Linked DNA regions of Oreochromis niloticus. The protein of the gene in region 2 purifies or fractionates together with the protein of the main gene of each other region. This does not show direct contact. Links are inferred from orthologs where the notes say so. Each region holds a gene or a part of one and is shown on either strand. Other genes may lie near its edges.

The links.
Region 1: the proteins of ptpro (region 2) and dnajb11 purify together in Homo sapiens (affinity purification with mass spectrometry; 3 studies listed by BioGRID and IntAct, with this or other methods). This does not show direct contact. The link is inferred for Oreochromis niloticus from reciprocal best matches to the Homo sapiens genes PTPRO and DNAJB11.
Region 3: the proteins of ptpro (region 2) and sdf2l1 purify together in Homo sapiens (affinity purification with mass spectrometry; 3 studies listed by BioGRID and IntAct, with this or other methods). This does not show direct contact. The link is inferred for Oreochromis niloticus from reciprocal best matches to the Homo sapiens genes PTPRO and SDF2L1.

The regions. Positions count from the first base shown.
Region 1 is NC_031987.2:32,688,705-32,692,458, forward strand, and holds the start of dnajb11 (dnaJ homolog subfamily B member 11), read right to left. Parts: upstream 2,458-3,754; 5' UTR 2,314-2,457; coding exon 2,240-2,313; intron 1,818-2,239; coding exon 1,661-1,817; intron 56-1,660; coding exon 1-55. Other genes in the region: tbccd1 (TBCC domain-containing protein 1), read left to right, coding at 3,617-3,679, 3,754-3,754. UniProt on the Homo sapiens protein: As a co-chaperone for HSPA5 it is required for proper folding, trafficking or degradation of proteins.
Region 2 is NC_031981.2:22,790,503-22,794,256, forward strand, and holds the start of ptpro (receptor-type tyrosine-protein phosphatase O), read left to right. Parts: upstream 1-1,584; 5' UTR 1,585-1,766; coding exon 1,767-1,991; intron 1,992-3,754.
Region 3 is NC_031977.2:3,588,747-3,592,500, forward strand, and holds the start of sdf2l1 (stromal cell-derived factor 2-like protein 1), read left to right. Parts: upstream 1-971; 5' UTR 972-986; coding exon 987-1,009; intron 1,010-1,605; coding exon 1,606-1,862; intron 1,863-3,754.

The DNA.
Region 1 (3,754 bases), on a different chromosome or scaffold from region 2:
GCCCGTCTTCTCCATACATGTCATACTGTTTCCTTTTCTCCTCATCTGAGAGGACCTACAAACAAACAACCTGTCAATCACCAACAGCCACAAGCCGCAGTCTTTGTTCTCTCCGCTGATACAACGTGTGGAGTGTCATCATTCAATGTAAAAATTAAACAAAAAAAAAAAAACATCGATGGGCTCTTCAAAGCTGTGTTAGTTTTTGAAATTGATTTTGATTCATTAAACAATGAAATGAAAAGTCAGTCAGCTGTTACTACTAAAACAATCTTAACGCTTACGTATAAAATATACACTTTTTCTTGATTTTCAAATACAAATATGAGAATACAAACAGGTGACCCATTAGAAGGAACAGCCAGCAATTACATTGAGGCTGTAGAAGTGCTTTCACCTGAGAAAAGCAGCAATGGCTCCATTCTTAGAAAATGATTAGATTTTAGAAATTCACAGCAAACGTTTCAAAAGAAAAGAAAAAAAAATCTGCTCTCATCTGCATGGAGTAGCACTAATGGCTGTTGCTACTGCTAATCAGCTCGTCATTGTCTCCCATTGTTTCAATCACAGACTATAGATAAAAGATGCTCTCCCATCATTAAGCATCAAGTTGAACCTCATTTCTTTTGTCAACCTTTTTGAAACTAGATATATGTGAGAGGCAGATCAGACTGTACCGAGAAATAATCTTCTTGACTCTAACAGTGAGCATAATTTACAACATGAAGATTATGCTGTAACAGGACTTGAAACTAGTAAGTGAGACCCTCAACCAATGAAGAAGGGCTGTTTTCCCTCATTCAGCAACAACAGGCAAAAATCCAAGTGGGGACGTCCCAGTTAAACTTTTCAGCTTCAAGGTGAACATCTGAAGAGACTACCAAAGAATGTTGGATATGTTGCTGTTTCTACAATCAGTAACCCATTTTAAATTCTGGCTTTGAAATATTTTTATTTGTTATATATTGTACCACTACTTTAGATTTCTTTAAACAAATAACAAAATGAACCATAAAGTTCAGTAGGTATCTTTTTTGTGCCTGAGGTACCTCAATAATAACAATTAAAAAAACAAAACAAAACAAAACAAAAAACAAAACAAAACAAAAAACACACAACTTAAAAAGAATTTATCTAGCTCTTGTCAATTATTTTCAAAACCGATACTTGCGTTTTATTATATTGTCATTCATTTAAATGTCCATTGACACGCCTCGACTAATAAAACCCGATTAATAACAAATTTCTGTTTTGTGTTACAAATCAGTGAACTCGCTGCGGCATCCTTCCGTTTTTAAAAGAAACGTGAACGTTTGACACGGAAACACCTGCAGCGCTTATCTGAATCCACTCCCACTCTTCCACGTCTGAATTTTCAATACACCAGCTGTGCTGCCTGACAGCCAATCAGATTCAGCCACACGGTCTAATCGTCCAATCGCAGAGATCTTACCAACAACAACCAAATTTCAGCCTTATAAAACAGTTGTATCGGCGTCTTGGGCGCTTTTATACTCACATATGATTAAATCTACACTACTGTAACCGAACACAGCTGATACTGGGGAAATATAACAGTCTTTTAACTCAAAAACAATTTCATTGTTGCTCATCGCGGATATCACTAGCATCATGTACACAACAATGGCTACACATCTACCTCATAGGCTGCCCCCAAGTCTGCGAACTTGTCCTGGGCTTGCGGGTCGTCTTGGTTTCTGTCGGGGTGTAACTGCAAAGCCAGCTTTCTGTAGGCCTTCTTGATGTCCCTGATTGATGCACTCTTGCTCACCCCCAAGATTTTATAGAAATCTCGCCTACAGGAGAGAGGAAGATAACACAAATGAGGCAGACACATGAGGCACAGAGGTAGAAGAAAAACGAGAAACCGTTATCAAATGGCAATGATGCTACTTTTAGATTGTAAAACACCGAGTTAGCTACAATCTCCGGGGGGTAAGCCAGTGTGGCTTCCATAGACAGTATGCAGCAGCTTCAGCTACCGTAATGGCTAGCTCCAAGCTAACTAGGCTAGGTAGTCACTTAAAACACGTCCCTTACAAGTGGTGGATACACTTTTTAATCAGTGAAGCGCAAAAGAGAACAAAAGCACTTATTAGCAAGTTAGCCCTGTGTCAGACTGTTCCACGCATGGAGAGCAGGTCTAGACCAATCACAGTGAAACATGTGTACCAGCTGGCGATGCTGTTTCGCCGCTGTCCGAGCGAACACCACTTACCCGGCAAGCACCGCTGTGGTAGCATAAAGAAGCAGGCAGCACACGTTACACAGGTTCATCCCTTTAGCAGCCATAGATCTCAGGATTTCTCACGGAGGTAGCAAAGAACAACCGGCTTTTTAAAGCTCGGATCCCAGCTGCCAGTCAGTCAGCCACAAGCCTTCTTCCTCCTGTCAGAGAAAGCCCGCCCACTGGATGTCGGCAAATCCTCCTCTCCCGAAAAACTCTGCCCAGCGTTAAAGAGACAGCTCACGTCGTTCTTCTCAACTCCTTCTTGTCAGTTATAACTGTTTGCACCGACGTTTTGTTTTGTTTTTTTGTTTTTGTTTTTTGTTACATGTATAAGTACAACTAATAAAAAACTGAACATTTTGGTGAATAAAAAAACCCGGACACCATGCTCATAGTGCAGGATGCAGCGCGCCCCCGCGAGCTGCGCGCAACAGATGTCTGCTGAAGTCTGAGTGGAGAGGAGGGCGCCAAATAGGAAGGACGGCAGATGTGCGTCTGACAGCTAACCAGGAACCACTGCACTCGTCCTCCTCTGTATACTCACCTATGAGTCCTTGACCTGTCGGTCCTTTTCTCATTCAGGCCGAAGATCCCAGTAACAGGACGAGGACACAAAGTCTGACACCAGAGGCGTGCTAGCTCAGCTAGCTAACTGGAGCTAAGCTAGCTGGCCAGCCCTACTTTTTTATATTGGAGTTAACTTTATGAGCAAATAGCAGTGCGCCTGGTATTACTGGTATTTGGCTTCCTTTCTTGTTGCGCCACAGCAAAAACAAGTGAGTTTTGTGCATATATTTACTGTGTTACTGGATTTGTGTTAGCTTAGTTTTGATTGGCTTGTCAAACTTGAAATTAGATGCCTAGTGTTGATGCACAAGCAGCCTGGTTGCCAGGAAGATATTTTTCACCCTGTAATTAAACGGTCATTTTTGAAGATTAGGTCTGTTGTCGCTGTACTAAAAAAAAAACAGCAATGAAAAGGTTCATGAAATGCGATGAGTTTTAAAAGAAAGTGAGTAAAGGCAGAACATTCTGCGCTGTATCTGAATTGATACACAGTTGTGTGTGTACAGAGTTAAAGTGGCCGGAGTATGAGTGACATGGTGAACTCAACAGTGTGGACAGAGGTTGAGTCTGTGCAAAATAACAAAGCATAATGTTATTGTAACTGTCCAGTTTGACCAGTTTAACTGCTAATGCTCCCCAGCTCTTTCCCTGGTTCGTGGCTAATAATCTTAATCCAGTAATTGCACTGTCATTGTGATTTAAAAGGTTTGGAAAAGTGCATTGTACTTACAGTGTCAAATACTCAAGTAATTAATTATCGGTGTATGTCACATGGTTTTGTACTCTGACTCTTCAGACATGGAGGCAAACGGCGTGAGCATATGGCCACGCATGGAACCCTTCCTACTTGGTGCCCTACAGGTAAATATACTCCCACCATGATATCAGCCAAGAGCTGTAAATCTTGTAAATAACATGAACTACTATCATTGTAGG
Region 2 (3,754 bases):
TGTACAGTAGGGGTGCGGTGCTGAGTGACAGTTGAGGGGTGAGGTGGGGGCTGAGTCGGACTGATTAAGGCTGGTTGGGTAGGAAGTCTTTGATCCAGGAGCAGATGGCACAGGGGATCTGAAGGTGAGGATGTCTGGGATTATGGTGTTGCTGTGGTCCACCAAGAGAATCCTCACTAGCTCTTCCTAGTCTCCAGATGGCTCAGCATTTTGTGAAGGGTGATGGCTTCTGCCGTTTGCTCTTGATGCAAATTGGGGGGGTTCGAGGGAGGAGGTAGGCAGTCTCTGATGTGCTGAGACACTATCTGCCCAGAAATACTCCATGACTACAGACCTCACGTGTGTAGTGGTCATGTTTTCTGGATGTTTATTGGATGTGGTGACAGCAGATGAAGCAGCAGTCTGGTAATGCGTGGTTTCCACCAGCAGGGGGTGGAGCAGGCTCATGATGAGTCTTCAGGTCGTGAAGACAGACTCACCTGAAGCAGACAAAGCTTCCAGTTCCTGCTGCTGTTCCAGGATCATTATGACTGTTTGCAACTTTTGGAAAAAGAATTTCTTCCTTTCAAAATAAAATTCATTTTCCGTCGCTTCAGCGTCATGGAGAAGGAAACAGCAGTGACACAAACAGCTGATCAAAGTCCAGTTGCTCTGAATGGAAGGACTGTTTTTTTTACTTTCCCTCACATCTAAGGACGTCTGACCTCTATGACGTCACAGAGATCCCAGAGCAGACAGTGTGTGATAAACAGAGTGTTTGGCTTGGTCTGCAGCCTCTGCCGGAACAGGACTTACACGCGATCAGCGGGCTAACCTGGATTTCTCATCACTCTTTGCTGTCTCTGGTTCTAAGAACGCTGACCAGCATTAACCCAGCTCGGCTGGTTGTCACCTTGTTTGTTACTGCCACACGAGAGGGCGCTGTGGAGCTCCGCTGGTATCACACGTTTGACCTGACAGTGTGGTCAGTTTGTGGACATCCACAGAACTCTTAGGGGAGTAGGTATTTTGTGCTGGGTCTTTGGTAGGTAACAGTTATTTTTCATCATGATCTTGTGTTTATACTGGAACCTCTCATAGTGTTGGTCGTTAAAAACGGACATGGAGCCATGTGTGAGAGATGTTCTCCAGCTTCTAAAGGCAGACATGTTTTTGTCTCTGTGCTTGCACATTGGTTTGTGTGAAGACGCCTGGCTTCCATGTGGATACTGCTTCATGTTCAGGCGCTGTTCATTTCTGTCTCCATCTGAAAAAACAACAAATCTGTTTTGGAATCATCATTTTTACTAAAATCTTATTGTTGAGTACAGAGACAGCCAGACATGCTGGCTCTTTACTTTAAGTTACAGTAACTCTTGAGTTACAGTTACTTAATCTGAGTTACAGTTACTTACCCTGAGCTACAGTTACTTTCTGTGAGTTATTGTTACTCTGAGTTCTGATGCGATGTGATGTTAATGTGTGATGTGACATCACGTGATGGTTGTGCTTTCTTCCTTGTGTTTTTTATGTTTGCGGTGAAATAAAGTTTGGAGACAGGATGTCGTGAGTAATTTCAGACTGAGCGCCTCTCAGTGGGAGCTGATGAAGAGGAGGAGGAGCGGCTCCGGGGCGCAGGGCGGGGCGTCAGCGCGCAGCAGCAGCAGCAGCAGCTCCATCACCGACACCGTCACCGACCTGCTGGCGTCTGCGGGCCGCGGCATGGACCCCGCTGCCCGGCCTGTCTCTGAGTGTGGGCCGGTCCAGTGCTGCTTCCCGCGGTTCTGATGGTGAAGGCGGTGGGCGCTCAGAGAAGCGGAGCGGACACAGACCTGTGCGCGCGGCGCGGCTCGCGCTCCGATGCAGCAGCGGGAGGAGGAGGAGGAGGCGCCATTGTTTGGATGCGCAGCAGACTGAGAGGAAGAAGGCCCGGGATCGTGCGTGCTGACCGGGACACGCGCACCATGGTGCACCCGCTGCTCCTCGCGCTCCACCTGCTCTGCTTCACCCAGGTAACGAGCCGCACTTCCGGCCGCAGCGGCTTTGTTCGACCGCAGGAACCGGGGAGGGGGAGGAGGGAGGTGTGTGTATGTGTATGTGTGTGTGTGTGTGCACGCGCGCACGCGGCGGACACGCGACAGCTAGCAGCTCGATGTGTCTGCGGAAAGTGGGTCAGTCGGCTGCAGCATCACACACACACATAGACACAGACTCACACACTCAGTCTCACACCCACACCGTACAGACGGACTCACATACAGACACACACAGACTCACACACTCTCCCCCCCATGCACACACAGTCTCACACACATGCCACAAACACACACACATACAGACTCACACTTAGCTGGTGTATATGGGTAAATCAACTTTACACTTACAAGTATTAAGAGCAATGCCTTTATTCCTGCAATCTGAGTGAAGGAACACCTCCTGCACATGCTCAGTCTGTTCTTTATAAAGTAACTGAGTGGTTATGTGTGAAGCCAGATGTTCCTGATGTTTCTGCTGAAGCCAGAGGTTACTATAGCACCCCCTGTGGGTGTAGTCCATCAGCTGTTGACATCATCGCACAGACATGTCCATTTGGGCTTACTGTGTGTCGTTTTTGTGGGCACAGTAAAACAAGTGAGATTACAAAAACAGAGAGGTGCCTGACCAGCAGAGACATGATGTCACTTTTGTCATGCAGCGCTATTCACGGGAGTGAAAATGGCGAGATGATAATGGCCCTGTGACATGTCACCTGTGGACACTTATAAAGCACGCGTTGGTTTCACAGTTAAAGTCAGCGTGTTGTGAAGGACCAGCGACTTCCTGTCTGCGAGTTTCTGTTTCCTGTCCCTGTAAAATCATCTGGAAGCTGCAGACTTTTATTTCCTGTTCAGGGTCGAGATAGTTGTGAAGTAACGTGGCGGGTTTACAGTGTTACGGGTTCTCCTCCACCTCGTTATCCTCGTTATCCTCGCTATCCGTATGCGGCGTTAATATCCTGCTCTGAGCGCTATCTGATGCTCCAAGCTTCCAATTTCCTGTTCTCTGACAGCTGCTCTGATTTGAGGCGCGGAATAAAAAGAGTATGAAGATGAAGAATTGATGAAGCATTTCCTGTTTCACTGACATCAGCATCTTAAGTTTTGGAATTTTTTTTGGACATAACGTGACGCACATTTCAAAAAATTCAACCGTGTGAGGAACTTTTATTTCGAAGAATAAATGTTTTATCCAAATCTGCTGCTTTTTCTCTAAAATCTGGCCACAATCCTGAGGAACACAGTGAAATCACTGATATGTTGCAGCTGTTAGTAAAACATATTTAAAATCAGTGCCATCTTCAGACTGAATTTGAACTCCTTCATTAGTTGGTTCCTGCTGAAATGCACCATGGGAGTCAGTGTTTATCAACTCAGTTCTTCACTATTTGTATAAACAGTGCTGCGATTGGCTGATGGGACATTTAACTGTTTAGCAGTAACTTACCTCCTTGATTTGTTAGCAGGACTGCCCAGAAGGCAGGACTGCCCTCCAAGAGTAGGAGATAGTCACTAAGCCAGGTCTGGTACTCCTGGATATTCTCGGTCTCCTGCATCCAGGGCCTCAGATACCGTGGATTCCCAAACTGTGGCCCGTGGGCTGAAGGCCTTGGGAAGGTTTTATGTGGCACGTGATGAACAAAGACTGTTCATCTCTCCACTGCAGCCATCCACTGTTCATGCTGTACGGTAGAATGAGACGAGCCTGAAGCTCCTCAGTGCAGGTGTAATTTCAGGTC
Region 3 (3,754 bases), on a different chromosome or scaffold from region 2:
AGCATCGTCACATAACAAAGAGCGTTTCACGCATCATGTGACTTTTCCTCAGCACATGGTGATCCTTATGAGTCCTAATATCTGATCCTACTAATGAGTCAGCGACATTATGAGATGGTGATTAAAAATCTATAAAAACAAAACGCAAACAAAATACCGCACTGTTGCAGAACGTAATTAATGCTGCAGAAAATCATCAGTCTGATAGTTTAATGCACAGAACAGTAAAATAAACATTTTAATTCCAGTGACTCATTTTTAATGGGATGTTTTTATGCTTGCCTTGTGTAAAAGTCACCGCACACCACTCATGTAACGTATAATTCTGTTTAAAAAACAAAGATGGCCTGTGTGATGATTAACAGGCAGAGTCAATCAATCTGCAGGAAAAACATTTATTTGAGTCAAATACTAAAATACAGTAAATCCATATAGGTATGTTTTAGGGATTTTGGGGATTTTAGGGATTTTAGGATTTAGGATTTTAGGATAGTTTAAATTTCACTATTGGCAGTTTATGAGATTACATTTGATGGTTTTATACGTCTTTTACTTTGCACGTCTTCTCCCAGACACTTTGTGAGTCGATCTTATGTAAAAATAAACCCAAAGGAGACAGAACCTCTGTTCTGATTCTATCTATTCTTTTCTCCTACATTTAATTATATTCTTTTCTTTGCTATTTTGTTTATCCTTCTGTCCCACTCTCACCTTTTCCTCTCTCACTCTTTGTGTGTGCATGTGTTAGAATCGAAGAATATTCCACCAGTGACCATTGCCAAGATCTTCATAATGATCGGGTATATTACATTCAGTGTGTTTTTGGATCAAATTAAGTATTGCCCAGTTCTCAGAGGGCAACTGGATTCTATCAATACAAAGTGACAATAACTATGTTATTTAAAAGTTTCAGAAAGGCCAGAAGAGAGATCAGAGACTGACAGCTGACTATCAATGATGGCAGCATAATGATTCAGTGCACTGGCATGAACATAAGTGCCCTTTCTTGGTAAAGACAATATATAATTAAAACATATTTTTTCTCTGTCTATATGTATAGAAATTTGCTTCTAAATTACATCACATAAACACATCTATACTAGACAGGTTACTGTGTATGTTAAATTGTACATGTGGTGGGTGCCATGTGTGTCCTTTGTCCCATCTTCCTCCGCTCTCTTCTCCCTTCCCCTCACTCCCAACTGGTAACAGGTGATAGCTATCTGGAGGAACAGCCTTTGCGGTCAGTGACGGCCTGAAACATCACCAAATGCTATTTCATCTTTTGAGAAGATTTTTTCTATTTTACTGTTCACAGTATTCGTTAAGTAGATTTGATCTGAATCCATCTGCGTGGCAAAACCACATCTTATCTTGTCTGTTTCGGCTCATCTGAGTTCCCAGGACAGATGAGCCGAATGTACCAGGGTCCTCTACTCATCATCATCAGCATCATCAGAGGCACAGGCAGTTTAAACCGGGAATAACGTTGGAGGGGTGGAGCTGCTTCTGCATGACTCCTACTACTGTTTGGCGTTAACTGTTGTGACGACGCATATGCCTATTCTGACCAATCACGCGTTGACATTGTCTTCCGTATTTTAGGACTTGTCAAGTGGTGATTGGTGGAAAGCAGCACTACGGTTCGGAAGTGAGTGCCGGTCATGACAGCAGAGACACAAAGATGGAGGTGGTCGGTACAATCCGCGGGCTTATCAGGTCGCTGCTCTTCCTGCTGCTGTGGTCCAGCTGTGAAGGACGAGACTCGGAGCTCAGCTATGTGACCTGCGGCTCTCTAGTCAAACTGTTCAACACCAGACACAACGTCCGACTGCACTCCCACGACGTTAAGTACGGCTCAGGTAAGTGTTCAGAGAGCTGCCGGTGTACGGCCACAGCAGCTCTGAGGCGTCAGTATTGCGCTTACTCTGCTAGAAGAGCTCTGTAGAAGCCAACAAATAGCCGAAAATTCAACCCAGCACAACTTCCGACCACCTTTTTCTACGCTGTAGTTAAGAAGAGGTTCGCTCCATCGGTGCGTGTCTTCTCTGGGGGCGTGCTGCTTTTGTGCTATAAGCACAAAAATGAGAAATTGATATTCCCATCAGTGCAGTTTGGCATTATAGAGTCACCTGCTTTATAAGAGCATCCATTAAGTTAGTGAGTTTGGAGTCGTCCTCATCAAGCACCAGGGTTAGGCTGACTTTCACATTTGGTGGAGAGGCTATAAGGTTTGCATACTGTAACAGTCACTCACCGAAACTATGAAACTCACTTATGTTTCATATCGTCTGATCCTAGCAGATGTCCTTCCACGCTCTATGTGCGCACTCTGTTTCGGCCTCGTCCCTGAAAGTTGCTGGTTTGAAGGCGAGGTAATATTTGTTACATGTGTAGCCAGCCTGGGACAAGTGCACATCGTCAGCACATCCACTTTAGGCTCATGTGACGTCAAACTTTCTCACATAAGTCATTTTACAAGTGAATATAGCTGAAATCATAGAACAGCCTAGACTTTAACTGATGTCAAGGCAGCTTTTATGAGACTACTTGTTAGCTATAAAATTGGGACTTTGCTGTGGAGAGAAGCAGACTGGAAAATAGTTTAATAGTACAGGGTTGAATACATTATTGCTAATGTTCTGTCATTGTTGCTGTACTGCTGGCTGACAACAGAAACAAGAACAGCTTATAATAACAGATTGTTGTGATGAGTGCATACTGGACCGCAGGCATTGTCAGAACTGAATCAGAACCGAAACACTGCAGCTAAGCTGGTGGATGCAGTGCCTGTGTAAAATCTAGTGGCTCTGGATGAGAGGAGAGCTGACTGCTTGAAGCATAGACAGATTATCAGTGCTACCGGGAAATCGCCTGAGGTCTTGTTTTGAAGCCTTAGGGTGAGCATTCTAACTGACCTGCAACACCCACATAATCTTCATAGGCATGTTGATGTTCTGTCACAGTTGTTGCAAATGTGAACTGGCATTCTTCTTCTTTTGCCACTCTTCAGTTGGAGACATGATAAATATACCTGTATACCAAAGTGCAACAGGGTGCAGGGTGGGCAACAAATTTTCCCATGGGGCCACATGAAGAAGCCGTGGTGCACCATTAAGCTTATAAAGAGAATAAATGAATATTATGCAAAACTGAGCTAGGTTTATCCTTTTAAATTGGTTCATGGACAGCTGTGAGAGCCTCCTCTAGTTCCCCTGTGACATTTTGCATAGAGCACAGATTTTGACAGTCTGGAAAAATAACTACATGAGGGAACAACATACCTGTCTATTGGTGGAACATGCATTTTTAAGATTACAATTCAGTTTCAGATGCACATGCAGCTCTGCTTGCACTGACATCTCTTTTGGGTCTCACATTTAAATGACAAAATCAACACTCTGAATTCAGATTTCGATATTATGTCTGCTTTATTTGTTATGGAATGACAGTTGAACAGGCCTCACCCAGCTATCAGACTACTTGTCAGTCAATTGTCTGTTAATTTTTTGAACCTCTGAAATGGGACATGTGTATAAAGATGACTGTGGTTTTTGTAAAGCTGCTTAAATTAAATGCAGTGTTCTACCGGTATATTTGTCCCACAAAATATGGACCAAACTGTCCCACCTGTAATAGTGGGAAAGGCAGGGCACACCCGGACAGGTCACTAGTCTGTACACAGAGCAGTGGAGAACATTCAGACTCCACACTGAATCTAACTGTAGTCAGAACATTATAAGTTTGACAGGCT